Macaca fascicularis: one gene and its partners. The main gene of each other region encodes a partner of the protein of the gene in region 2 in a complex. Links are inferred from orthologs where the notes say so. Each region holds a gene or a part of one and is shown on either strand. Other genes may lie near its edges.

Region 1 (3,568 bases), on a different chromosome or scaffold from region 2:
GTATCATACTCATATAGAAAAGCTAGTACACTAGATATTTTACTGCAGGGACTGGGACAAATACTCAAATGTATTTGAAACTCTCTTGAGAGATTGACAGTTGTGGGACGTGACTTCAGAAAATTCTTTCTCTTCACTGTAAAATAATATTTTTCCTCCCTGTAAAATATGGTAGACAACTGCTGGTTCATTCTAAAGTCATCTATAATCCATCCTACCCATGATGTCAGTTACAGTTGAATACATGTTTGTATATATATTAAAATATTCTATGTATGTTATAGAAAAAAAGACAATTTCCACTGCACATTTAGGTGATACAGGCCAAATTTTCAGCTTCGACTAGATTGCACCATTTATTTTTTATAGGTTTGTTGCATCCCATATGCTTATGATGATGTTTCCATTCATCAATAATTTAACAAATATTTATTTACTAAAATACAGATACTAAAAAGATGTTTTTCTCAACGAGTAAATTTAGCATATTGTCACAGGAAAATTATCACAGAACGCAGATGACAGGTGATTTATTTAATTCACTTAAAAATGGTATTTTGTTTTAGTTTGCAAATGTTGATTAGATTTTCTGGAATCTAACCTGTAGGTGGCAGTAAATTGAATAGCCCAAGAGTAATCTTGGTATTTTTATTTTAATTTATTTTATGTTTAAAATTTGGTCTGTGTGTGGCCTCAAGGACGAATCTTTTAGATTACTTAGTAAGGAAGTATTTTCTTGAAGAATGCTGTCCTTTGGCAGTTTCGTTGCTGGTGGTGGCCCAAAATAAACTGGAGAGGCTTAAATTCCTGCCAGCTTAGAATACCATTTATAATAATGCATTAAAGATTTTCATATGAATGAAAAATATACTCTTATACCTCACTCCCCATCATCCTGACAGAAATAAAATCCTATGTGCAAGTTGGAGGGAGTGACCATTTACCAGAATGAATCAGATCCTTCTAGAAGAATACTCTGATTCTTCTAGAAAATGTGTCAGATATCATCAGCATTTCCTTTTCTGGTATATTTCTTTCCAAGATCAAGGAAAGCATGAGCATAACAATTAATTTTAGGTTTTTATTTTGAAGCATTTCCTGTATAAAATAGGTTAAAATATAAATATCAAAATCACATACTATAAATCTGTTGCCATGCCCTAATTTCATGGACGATGAAACTTTGAATAACAAATTCAGATTCAATTTTGCTAATTTGTAAAGATGTGATTTAAAGATACTTTAACATCTATGCTGGTGTAATAGTGACAAGTAAAAGCTGCCCGTGTATATTTATACTCACCAGCACACAGATTTCCATGGTGATATGGACAAGAAAAGTCATCCTTTTCACAATATTTTCCATACACTTTTCCAAGCTTAATTTTGTGACATGAACATTTCCCACAAACACAAACTCCTCGACCACTGCAAACAGGTTGATCCTTGTGTGACTTGCAACTCTCAGAAGAAAACTGATCTTCATCAAAATGACATTTATTCTCATCACACTGGAAGCACTTGGAATCTAGAAAAGTTTCATCTACACACTTTCCTTTAGGTCCTCTGTTGTCCTCACACTGACAGCTGCAGTTTCTGTGTATATGAATTTTAGCGGTTTCATTAAAACCAATAGGTTTGATTATTGCATAGTTTTTTCCTCCTGTGACATCACATTTTTTCATTGTAACTGTTACATTGAAAAGAACCTAAATTTAGGAGGAAAAAGGAAATATATTTACATACCTTAATTATTTTTATTACTAATATTATATCTGTTAATAACTGAATTGATAAGAAACCATCTTAGAGAAATTAAAAATATTTGTAAAATAAACACATGTAATCACTTTCATATACATGCAACATCTCTTTTTAATGTCATTTATTCTCCAACTAATGAACTTGAGAGTTAAAGAATATAATGACTGCTAATCCCTATATTGCACCATTAAATAGACTTGAGTGCAAGCCTTTTTGAAGCGTCTACCCCATCACTGATGATTAATTTCTTAGCAAACATAAGAAAGAATAGACCATTTTCTAAATTCAGCCATTAAAATGTGGGGTATTGAATATTTGACACTAGAGATAGATCACATAAACCAAAGTAAAGGGCTTCTGCTCTACTGGTTTAAAACCCTGAGATGAGACCTGGCGCGGTGGCTCACACCTGTAATCCCAGCACTTTGGGAGGTCGAGGGAGTTGGATCACCCGAGGTCAGAAGTTCGAGATCGGCCTGGCCAACATGGTGAAAACCCATCTCTGCTAAAAATTCAAAAATTAGCTGAGTGTGGTGGCATGAACCTGTAGTCCTAGCTACTTGGGAGGGAGGCTGAGGCAGGAGAATCACTTGGATTGCAGTGAGCCGAGATCGCACCACTGCACTACAGCCTCAGTGACACAGCGAGACTCCGTCTCATAAATAAATAAATAAATAAAAGATTTTAAAAACCCTGAGGTAAGATGTTCAAATGAACAATTTTAATTTTGTTCCTATTTTCTAGGAGCCCAAGTAAAGTTTCAGAGTTACATTTTAGTTTATACAGGGTTTCAGTGGAGGAAAACATGTGGCTTTCTGTGATGTTACTCAAAATAAAATTGTTTAGGACTCTCATTCTCAAATCTTAAGACCTCAGCACAGGTCATCTGCTTGTCTCAGTGGAAGAAGATAGCCCAGAACTAAGGAGCTGGGCTGGCAGGAACTGGTCAAATGTTTTCTTTTTCTCTATTTCTTCTTTTTGCACAACACAATTGATTTAATATGTCTATTTATATTTATTGGCTCACCTTACCATCTTTAGGTACTTTGGTAAATAAGGTATATTTATTTCATGTTGGATTGAGATCCATTGCAATTTAAAATTAATTTGAGCTTTTTGGGTGGAATGTGTGTCAATGATACAATAATATAAAGTATCTAAATTTGGCTTATATATACATGAAACACTAGAATTTGTTCCGTAATATTAAAATCAATACAGTTGGTGTTATACTTAAAATGCTTTCGTCTTTGAGAATGCTGAGGCTTAACAGATACGTAAGTTAATGTGGCCACTGCCATCTCTAACAGTAGATCATACTCTGGGGTTTCCATAACTAAGAGGTCATATGACTATTCCTGAGAGTTAAACTATTTAAACCACTCAATTGAAAGTGAAGGAGAGATGGCATGTAAGCAAATGAAAAGAAAAAAACAGTGTAACAGGTAAGAAAAACCACTCTTCCAAAATGAGATTTTGAAGGAAATAACTATTTCTAAGACAGTAGCCGTTTTTTCATAAAGTAACTTAGTGCTATATTTGCTAGTAAAAAGTTTTCTCTGTAGTTTTAATGAAAAGCCAAAGTGTATTTTGCAAAATATGATATCTTTTGAACAAAATCCATGGAGTGATCATAGAAGAAACCACAGAATTAGAAACTGGCAATAATTAATTTAAAATATACAGCTCTAAAATTCCTAAGATAGAAAAACATATTCTAACTAAAGAGAAGACAGGATTCTCTTTTATTCATTTTTAGAATCTTCTATCACGTTCAATAACTTTTTCTTTTTTTCTATAGCAT
Region 2 (3,568 bases):
TGGGCAGGAACTCCTCCCTTAACCTCTCTGGGCTTGTTTCCTCACCTTTAGAATGGGTGTTATCAGAGTCCCTGCATCTCAGAGTGTTGCTAAGGTGACTGAATGAGTTCATTAATGTAAGGCACTTCAACAGTGTCCAAGGTGCTCAATAAATAGATCTAACTACAGTAGTGTTCTCCACTGGTTCCCTGTGCCCTGATGCTGGGCAAAGGAATAGTGCAGACAGGCAGGAGGAGGCAGAGAGGGACAGAGATGGGGTGGGAGTAGGGGAACGTCAGGGAAGGAGACCCCAGGCAGGCGCCCAATGACACAGAGATCCGCAGTCCTCTCTCCATCTTTAATGGGGCCCCAGGTGGGCTTGGGGCACGGGTGTCCTTAAATACAGCCCCCAAGGGCAAGGCAGCGGGGGCGGGGCGGGGCGGGGCCGGGCCTGCCGGGGTGGGGCGGGGCGGGACGGGGCCTCAGCTGCATTTGCAGGAGCGCACGATCATGTTGGACAGCTGCTCCACCTTGGGCTTGCGGCCCACGTAGTACACGATGGGCAGCGGCTCCAGCGCCTGCGGCACGCAGCACGGCGCCGCCGAGGCGCCCGGGTTATGCTGGTTGTACAGGGCCAGGACCTGCGGGCGGCGGGCGGGGTCAGGGCTCAGGGATAGTGGAGGGAGGAAGATGGCCCTCCACTGCCCCATCCCCCACCCCCTACCGCGCCAGCCTCTCCCCGCATCCCTGTCCCCCTCTTCCCATCTCCAATTCGGTCTCTCTTATCTTCTAACATCCTATCTTATTCTGTCTCTCCCCATCTGTCTGATTTTCTTTTTGTGTTGAGACTGGGTCTCGCTCTGCCACCCAGGCTGGAGTATAGGGGCGCGATCAAGGCTTGCTACAGCCTCAACCTCCTGAGCTTAAGTCATCCTCCCGCCTCAGCCTCCGGAGTAGCTCGAATCACAGGCAAGCGCCACCACTCCTGGCTTTTTTCTTTTCTTTTCTTTTTTTGGTAGAGATGGGATCTCACTCAGCTGCCCGGGCTATTTTCGAACTCCTGGGCCCAAGCGATCCTTCTGCTTCAGTGTCCCAGAGTGCTGGTATTACCAGCGTGAGCCGCCGTGCCCGCCTGATTTTCTTTCTCAGTCTCTACCCTTCCTCGTCGTCGCCTCTTGCCTTGTTGTATGTCTTTGTCTCTCCTTGCTCTAACTCTGTGTTTGTATCTGCCTCTCTCATTTTGTCTCTCCATTTCTCTCTGCCTTTTTCCTTCCATCTCCCTGTCTTCTCCCCTTTACCCCCACCCCTCTGTTACTTCAGTTCTGTGGGCCTTCATATCTCATCTCCCTCTGCCCCCTGCTCAGAGCCCTTCTCTAGCTTCCTGCCTCTCTCCCCATCTCTTTATCCATTCCCTTTCCCACCCCATCCCTCTTTCTCCCCATCCTGCCAACTCACCTCTCTGACTTGACTTCTCTTTCTCTCTCCTCTTCCTCTGTCCTGGCTCCCCCCAAGCGCACCTCCTAGCCCGGTGGGCCAGACGTACCTTGCTGTACTGTGTGTCCAGGCTCCAAATGTAGGGGCAGGGTCCCAGGCAGAAGTTGGCATGGTAGCCCTTGGGCTCGTGGATCCACTTCCAGCCGAGGTCCTTGCGGAAGTCAATATACAGCTGCCGCACGCAGCAGTTCTTCTCCGTGGAGCTGCAGGCAGGAGAGACGCTCAGGGGTAGGGAGGGGCTACCACCACAGGAGCGGTGCGCCCCTCCACCACAGGAGCGGTGCGCCCCTCCACCACAGGAGCGGTGCGCCCCTCCACCACAGGAGCGGTGCGCCCCTCCACCACAGGAGCGGTGCGCCCCTCCACCACAGGAGCGGTGTGCCCCTCCTCCCCAGGTGTGTGTCACCCTAAGTTGCCCCCCCAGCCCTATCTCCATCTGGGTCTCCCTTGCACCCCATGTTAATAACAACACAAATAGTCATGATAATCACTAACACAGATTAAGCACTTCCTCCAGTCAAGCACTGTGCTAAGAGCGATGTAATAATCTCATGCAATGCTTAAGACAAGCCTGTAAGAAGCCAGATGACCATCCCCCGGGGGGCTAAATAAATCATGGCATGCCCACACCCTGGAACATACAAAATAACACGGCTCCATGTAAACTGATCTGCTCTGTTTGTGCAACAAATGTTTATTGAGCTACTACTGTGTGCTGGGCTGGGATCTACTGGGGGCTGAGGACAAATGAAATAGATAGAAATAGGCTAGGCATGGTGGCTCAGGCCTTTAATCCCAGCACTTTGGGAGGATGAGGTGGGAGGATCGCTGGAGTCCAGGAGTTCGAGGTTGCAGTGAACTGGGATCACACCACTGCATGCCAGTCTGGACAACAAAGAGCAACACCCTGTCTCTAAAAAATTGTTTTTCAATTTTTTAAAAAGAGACAGAAATCTCTGCCCTCCAGGGTCATGCTATAAATTGTCATGTCACTCCTCTGCTCTGAACCTGGCTCCACCTCATGGCAAATGCCCAAGTCCTCACCGTGAGCCACAAGGTGCTAGCAAATCTGGCTGATCTCAACTCCCTCTCTCACGCCTACTCCACTCCAGCCACACTGGCATCCTGTCTGTTCCTCAGACAGTCTTATCTCAGGGCTCCTGCATCTGCTGTTCCCTCTCTATCTTGCTAGTCCCACAGATACCCACTCCAGCTTGTTCCTTCACTTCTTTTTTTTTTCTTTTTTTTTTTTTCGAGACAGAATCTCACTCTGTCTCCCAGGCTGGAGTGCAGTGGCACGATCTCGGCTCACTGCAACTCCGCCTCCCAGGTTCAAGCGATTCTCCTGCCTCAGCCTCCCGAGTAGCTGGGATTACAGGCGTGTGCCACCACACCTGGCTAATTTTTTGTGTGTTTTTAGTAGAGACAGGGTTTCACCATGTTGGCCAGGCTGGTCTCGAACTCCTGACCTCGTGATCCGCCCACCTCGGCCTCCCAAAGTGCTGGGATTACAGACCTGAGCCACCGCATCCGGCCCATTTATTCTTTTTAATTTGTTGTTCTTTTTAGAGACATGGTCTCACTATGTTGCTCAGGCTGGTGTCGAACTCGGGCTCACGCGATCTGCACGCCTTGGCCTCCCAAAGTGTTGGGATTACTGGCATGAGCCACCGCACCTGGCCCCTTCACGTCATTTAAACCTTAGCTCAAATATCCTTCACTCAAGGACCCTTAACTCCTAAAGCGGTGCCTGGAATGCAGTAGGTACTCAGTAAATATCAGTTACATGACTGAACATCACCTCCTCGGAGATACCATTCTGAGCCATCCTTTCCAAAATATCCAAGTGACTGTTAGTTCCATTTAGTGCAATATGGTATTGCAGTTATGTAAGAAAATATAAAAATGCATGCATTTGAAATGGGGCAAAATCTTAATCACCGATGACGCTGGATGAGAGTTTACAGGCGTTCATTATCTTCATTGCTTTTGTATACATTTGAAATTTTCCATAATAAAGCAATTTAAATCAGAATAGGAAAAATAATAGTTCCCAATATCTATTACTCTGTCTGCCTTCTTCTGATTTGTTTTA
Region 3 (3,568 bases), on a different chromosome or scaffold from region 2:
TTCAATCTCATTGTAGCTCAAATCCAGATTCAAGAGCTGGGAAAGGGGGCGGGCACTGACATTCCCATTGGGGGTTGAGAGGGGCAGGGCTGACCAGCCCTCGGAAGGCGCGTGGATGCCCTTGCTGTCCTGGGGTGGCCCTGTGGGGAGCCGGATGAGGTTGTTGGACAAGTTCAGGTAGATGAGTCTCGGGAGCGCGGCCAGGTCGGGGAAATGGAGCAGTTTGTTCTCCCGCAGGTCAAGCCAGGTGAGCTGGAACTCGGCCTGGGGCTGGGAGGCCGTCTGAAAGGCCTCAATGCTGTTGCAGCTCAGGTCCAGCACCCGCAGCTGCTGAAGGCTGAAGTCGGAGATGCAGGTGAGGGAATTCCTGGAAAGGTTGAGATGGGTCAGGTGGGGCAGGCCCTCGAAGGCGCCATCCTCGATGTCCATCAGCACGTTGCTATGCAGGTCAAGCTGCTCCAGCGCAGGCATGTCCCGGAAGGTGTGGCGGGTGAGGCGAGTCAGACTGTTCTCCGCCAGTGAGAGGGTATGCAGGCTGGGTGCCTCCCCTAGCAGCCGCTCCAGCAGGCCGCTGTACAGGCTGTTCCCAGACAGGTCCAGGGAGGTCACACGTGGCAGGGGGCCCAGACCACCGGCACTCAGCGCAGTGGCCATCGCCAGCCGGTTGTGAGCCAGGCTGAGGTGCTCCAGGTGGGTCAGGGCCTGGAAGGCTCCTGGCTGGAGGAAGTTGATCTCATTGGTGCTCAGGTCCAGGTGACGAAGTGCCGTGTAGAAGCCCAGGGGTGAGGCCAGGATACTCCGCAGCTGGTTCCCAGAGAGATCAAGGGTCTCAGTGTCCGGCGGGAGCACCAAGGGGACCTGGAGCAGGCCCAGACCCTGGCACGAGACCTTCTTGTCCACCTGGGGAGGGGCAGGGTGGGGAGACAGCTGGCATAAGTGGGCGCAGTAGGGGATAAAACCAGACACGTTTATCCAGGAACCCGGCCTGGCTGGGAACCCTTCTCCCATGGACTCCCAGAATGCTCAACTTTCCCTCACCGCAGCCTGATCACCCCATGCCGGGATGACCCATCCGGCTCCCTGCCCCATCTGCGGCACCCAGCACAGTGCTGGGCATTAAGGAAGGAACTCGATGAAGTTTCTACGGGTGGACAGATGGAGAGATGACAGACAGATAGAAGGACAAATAAACTAACAAAGAAACCCTGTACTTATTATTACCCCTCTTACAGGAAACAGCCATATATCCCACAGAGTGACCCCAAGCCAGTGAGCAGCAGGGCACAGCAGGGACCCAAGGCTCCTGGTTCTATGCAGAGAGTTAAATTTCCAGGGGCAGGATGGGAATTTCTCCACTTTGGGAGAAATGTTTCCAAAAGGGAAAACTGTAATTTGTGCTCTGTCATCAGTTTTTATCTTGGCCTCAGACCTCATTCAGGCTCTCGTGTCGTGGGCAGAACCTGGGTCCCGGGGCCTGCCTTCCTTGTGGATGCTTCCCAGGGGTGGCCTCCTCTCTGTTGCTGTTACCTGCTAGGGGGTGGCTTTCTTCCCAGGCTGGGTCAGGGGACTAGGCCCCTGGAGGTGGGAAGGGGCAGGGAAAAGATGGCCAGAGCCAAATCCACAGCCTTTGGTGACGAGACCATGTTTGTGCTGTGCGACCTCCAGGAAGTCACATAACCACTGTTTTCTTACGTCCTTCCCCAGCAGCCACTCAACATTTGACATCTTCGTTAATACTTTCAGGCCTGTGGTCCCATTGGTCTTTACCACAGCCTGTGCATCTGATACGATCACCCCATTTACAGAAATCTAGGCTCAGGGAAGGGAAGGGAGGTGCCAGGATTGCCCAGCTGGTGAGGAGCAGAGCTGGGATTTGAACCCAGGTTTTTTAACAACCAAAGGCCTCAATCTTGTTCTTCCGCAGATGTACCTTCTGGGACCAAAATTCTTTCTGTGCAAATGCAGGTCTCCCTTTTCTCTTCCAGGCCTCCAGGAACCCCAGCCTTTCCCAGAAAAGAGTCTGACTTCCACAATCACCGGGCTCAGGCTCACTGCCCCCAGCTTCTGTCTCCACTGACCCATTCTGGCCCATTCACTGCTAAATGCCTGACAACGGCTCAAAAGCTCCACTCTGACTATGAGGCAGCTTGGCTTAAACTTCTCCATGGTGAAGTCCAGGACCCTCAGCAGGGCCTTCGAGGCTGTTTGTAGCCCCTGCCAACCTGTCCCCCACCTCCCACCCCAGCCCACATGCAGTGACCACAGCTGACCACTGCCCATCATGCCCTCCCACACCCACTGCTGAGCCTCCTCCCTGAGCTGGATATGCCATCCCCAACCAGATCCACATGTGAACTCTTCATGTTGAGCTTCAGGGCCTCCTCTACCAGGGAGCCCTCCCTGACTGTGCTTCCTCTCAGAGCTTTGCCCCGCTGAATTGTGGCTGTTTGTGTGGGGACCTGCTAGACAGCGAGCTCAGAGCAAACAGGGACTGGTTTGGTGGATGTGGATGCCTTGGACCTGACTAGCAAGTCAATTTTTCCTAATGAATGAGTCCCAGGCATCATCGGTTTAGTAAAGGTCTGAGGCACTGAATCAATCACTTCTCTGGGAGGAAAGAAAATGGATGATTGATATTTTCAGAATATAGTCAAAGACGGCTAGAGCAAGAAGAGTTCAGCTCACCCACTTCCCAGATGGGGACACTGAGGCCTGAAGATGACAGTGACTTGCATGAATTCACAGTGAGCCAGTGGCTGAGCTGGTAGGGAAGGAACACAAGCTGGCGTGTTCCTCTCCTGGTCCAGCTCTGCGCTTCCTCCTGAGAGCCCCAAGGTGAGTAGGCGGAGGAAGAGACCTGCCCAGCCTCAGGCCTCTGTGTGGCTCTTCCTACTCCATGCAGCACAATGACTCCATGTAGCCTCCAAGGGAGGCAGGTTCACAGGGGCCTCAGGAGGCCCAGGGATGCCCCGGCAGTTGGGCACTTGTGAGAACCTGAAACCTGCCTGGCTGCCTTGCCCATCCTTGCCCTTCCTCCCTCACAACCTCTCTGCCTGCAGGGGCCACTAAACATAGCCTCCTCCTCACAGCCCTTACCCCCTGGGGCATTCCTTATTTAAAGCAGAAACAACGAAATGACCTGTGGTGGAGCCCCAGCTGTGTCAGGCTTCGTGCTGAGTGCAGAGGCCCCTACCCCATTAAATATTCCCAGGCATTGTTCACCCTGCTCCTATTGTACCTCTAACGAAACTGAGGCTAAGGGGAGTGGGCTGCCCAAGATCAGACAGGCAGGGGCTCAAAACTCTCATTTGCAAATTCCTTTTCCTATTGGTGCCAGCCAAGTTCTGACCACTGGGCCCTCAGCTGGTCGGCACAGCAAAGAGCATCAGGGACCCACTTACTGAGTGTTACAGTGTGGGGGGCACTCTGCGGTGCCCCACGTGTTACCCCCGGGCAAGTGGAGAGGCATACTGCCTCTGGATAGGCAAAGGCTCCCTGGGGCACTAGCCCCTGAGACTTGATCCAGGACACAAAGTTTGCCAAGCCCACAGCCCAAGCCTTCCTCTCC

Evidence for each region. The genes of interacting proteins can lie anywhere in the genome.
Region 1: the proteins of TGFB1 (region 2) and ITGB8 are in contact, whole or in part, in a cryo-EM structure (PDB 7Y1T), measured with the Homo sapiens proteins. The link is inferred for Macaca fascicularis from reciprocal best matches to the Homo sapiens genes TGFB1 and ITGB8. Residues at the interface, in NP_000651.3 of Homo sapiens: His117, Thr241, Arg243, Arg244, Gly245, Asp246, Leu247, Thr249, Ile250, His251, Gly252, Met253; in NP_002205.1 of Homo sapiens: Ser156, Ala157, Ser158, His160, Asn161, Asp213, Tyr214, Asn215, Leu216, Gly248, Asn249, Ile250, Asp251, Thr252, Glu254, Gln286.
Region 3: the proteins of TGFB1 (region 2) and LRRC32 are in contact, whole or in part, in a cryo-EM structure (PDB 8VSC), measured with the Homo sapiens proteins. The link is inferred for Macaca fascicularis from reciprocal best matches to the Homo sapiens genes TGFB1 and LRRC32. Residues at the interface, in NP_000651.3 of Homo sapiens: Leu30, Ser31, Thr32, Cys33, Lys34, Pro325, Pro327, Tyr328, Ile329, Trp330, Ser331, Leu332, Thr334, Gln335, Tyr336, Val339, Leu342, His346, Ala353, Pro354; in NP_001122394.1 of Homo sapiens: Ser135, Tyr137, Glu158, Ser160, Thr162, Val184, Met186, Asp187, Ile188, Glu189, Asp190, Phe193, Leu202, Leu204, Arg206, Asn207, Ser208, Leu209, Thr210, Cys211, Ile212, Ser213, Asp214, Phe215, Ser216, Leu217, Leu223, Leu225, Cys227, Ser229.

The regions. Positions count from the first base shown.
Region 1 is NC_088377.1:109,813,020-109,816,587, forward strand, and holds part of ITGB8 (integrin beta-8), read right to left. Parts: intron 1,710-3,568; coding exon 1,304-1,709; intron 1-1,303. UniProt on the Homo sapiens protein: Integrin alpha-V:beta-8 (ITGAV:ITGB8) is a receptor for fibronectin. It recognizes the sequence R-G-D in its ligands.
Region 2 is NC_088393.1:48,471,334-48,474,901, forward strand, and holds the end of TGFB1 (transforming growth factor beta-1 proprotein), read right to left. Parts: intron 1,677-3,568; coding exon 1,523-1,676; intron 621-1,522; coding exon 462-620; 3' UTR 324-461; downstream 1-323. UniProt on the Homo sapiens protein: Transforming growth factor beta-1 proprotein: Precursor of the Latency-associated peptide (LAP) and Transforming growth factor beta-1 (TGF-beta-1) chains, which constitute the regulatory and active subunit of TGF-beta-1, respectively.
Region 3 is NC_088388.1:75,536,806-75,540,373, forward strand, and holds part of LRRC32 (transforming growth factor beta activator LRRC32), read right to left. Parts: intron 901-3,568; coding exon 1-900.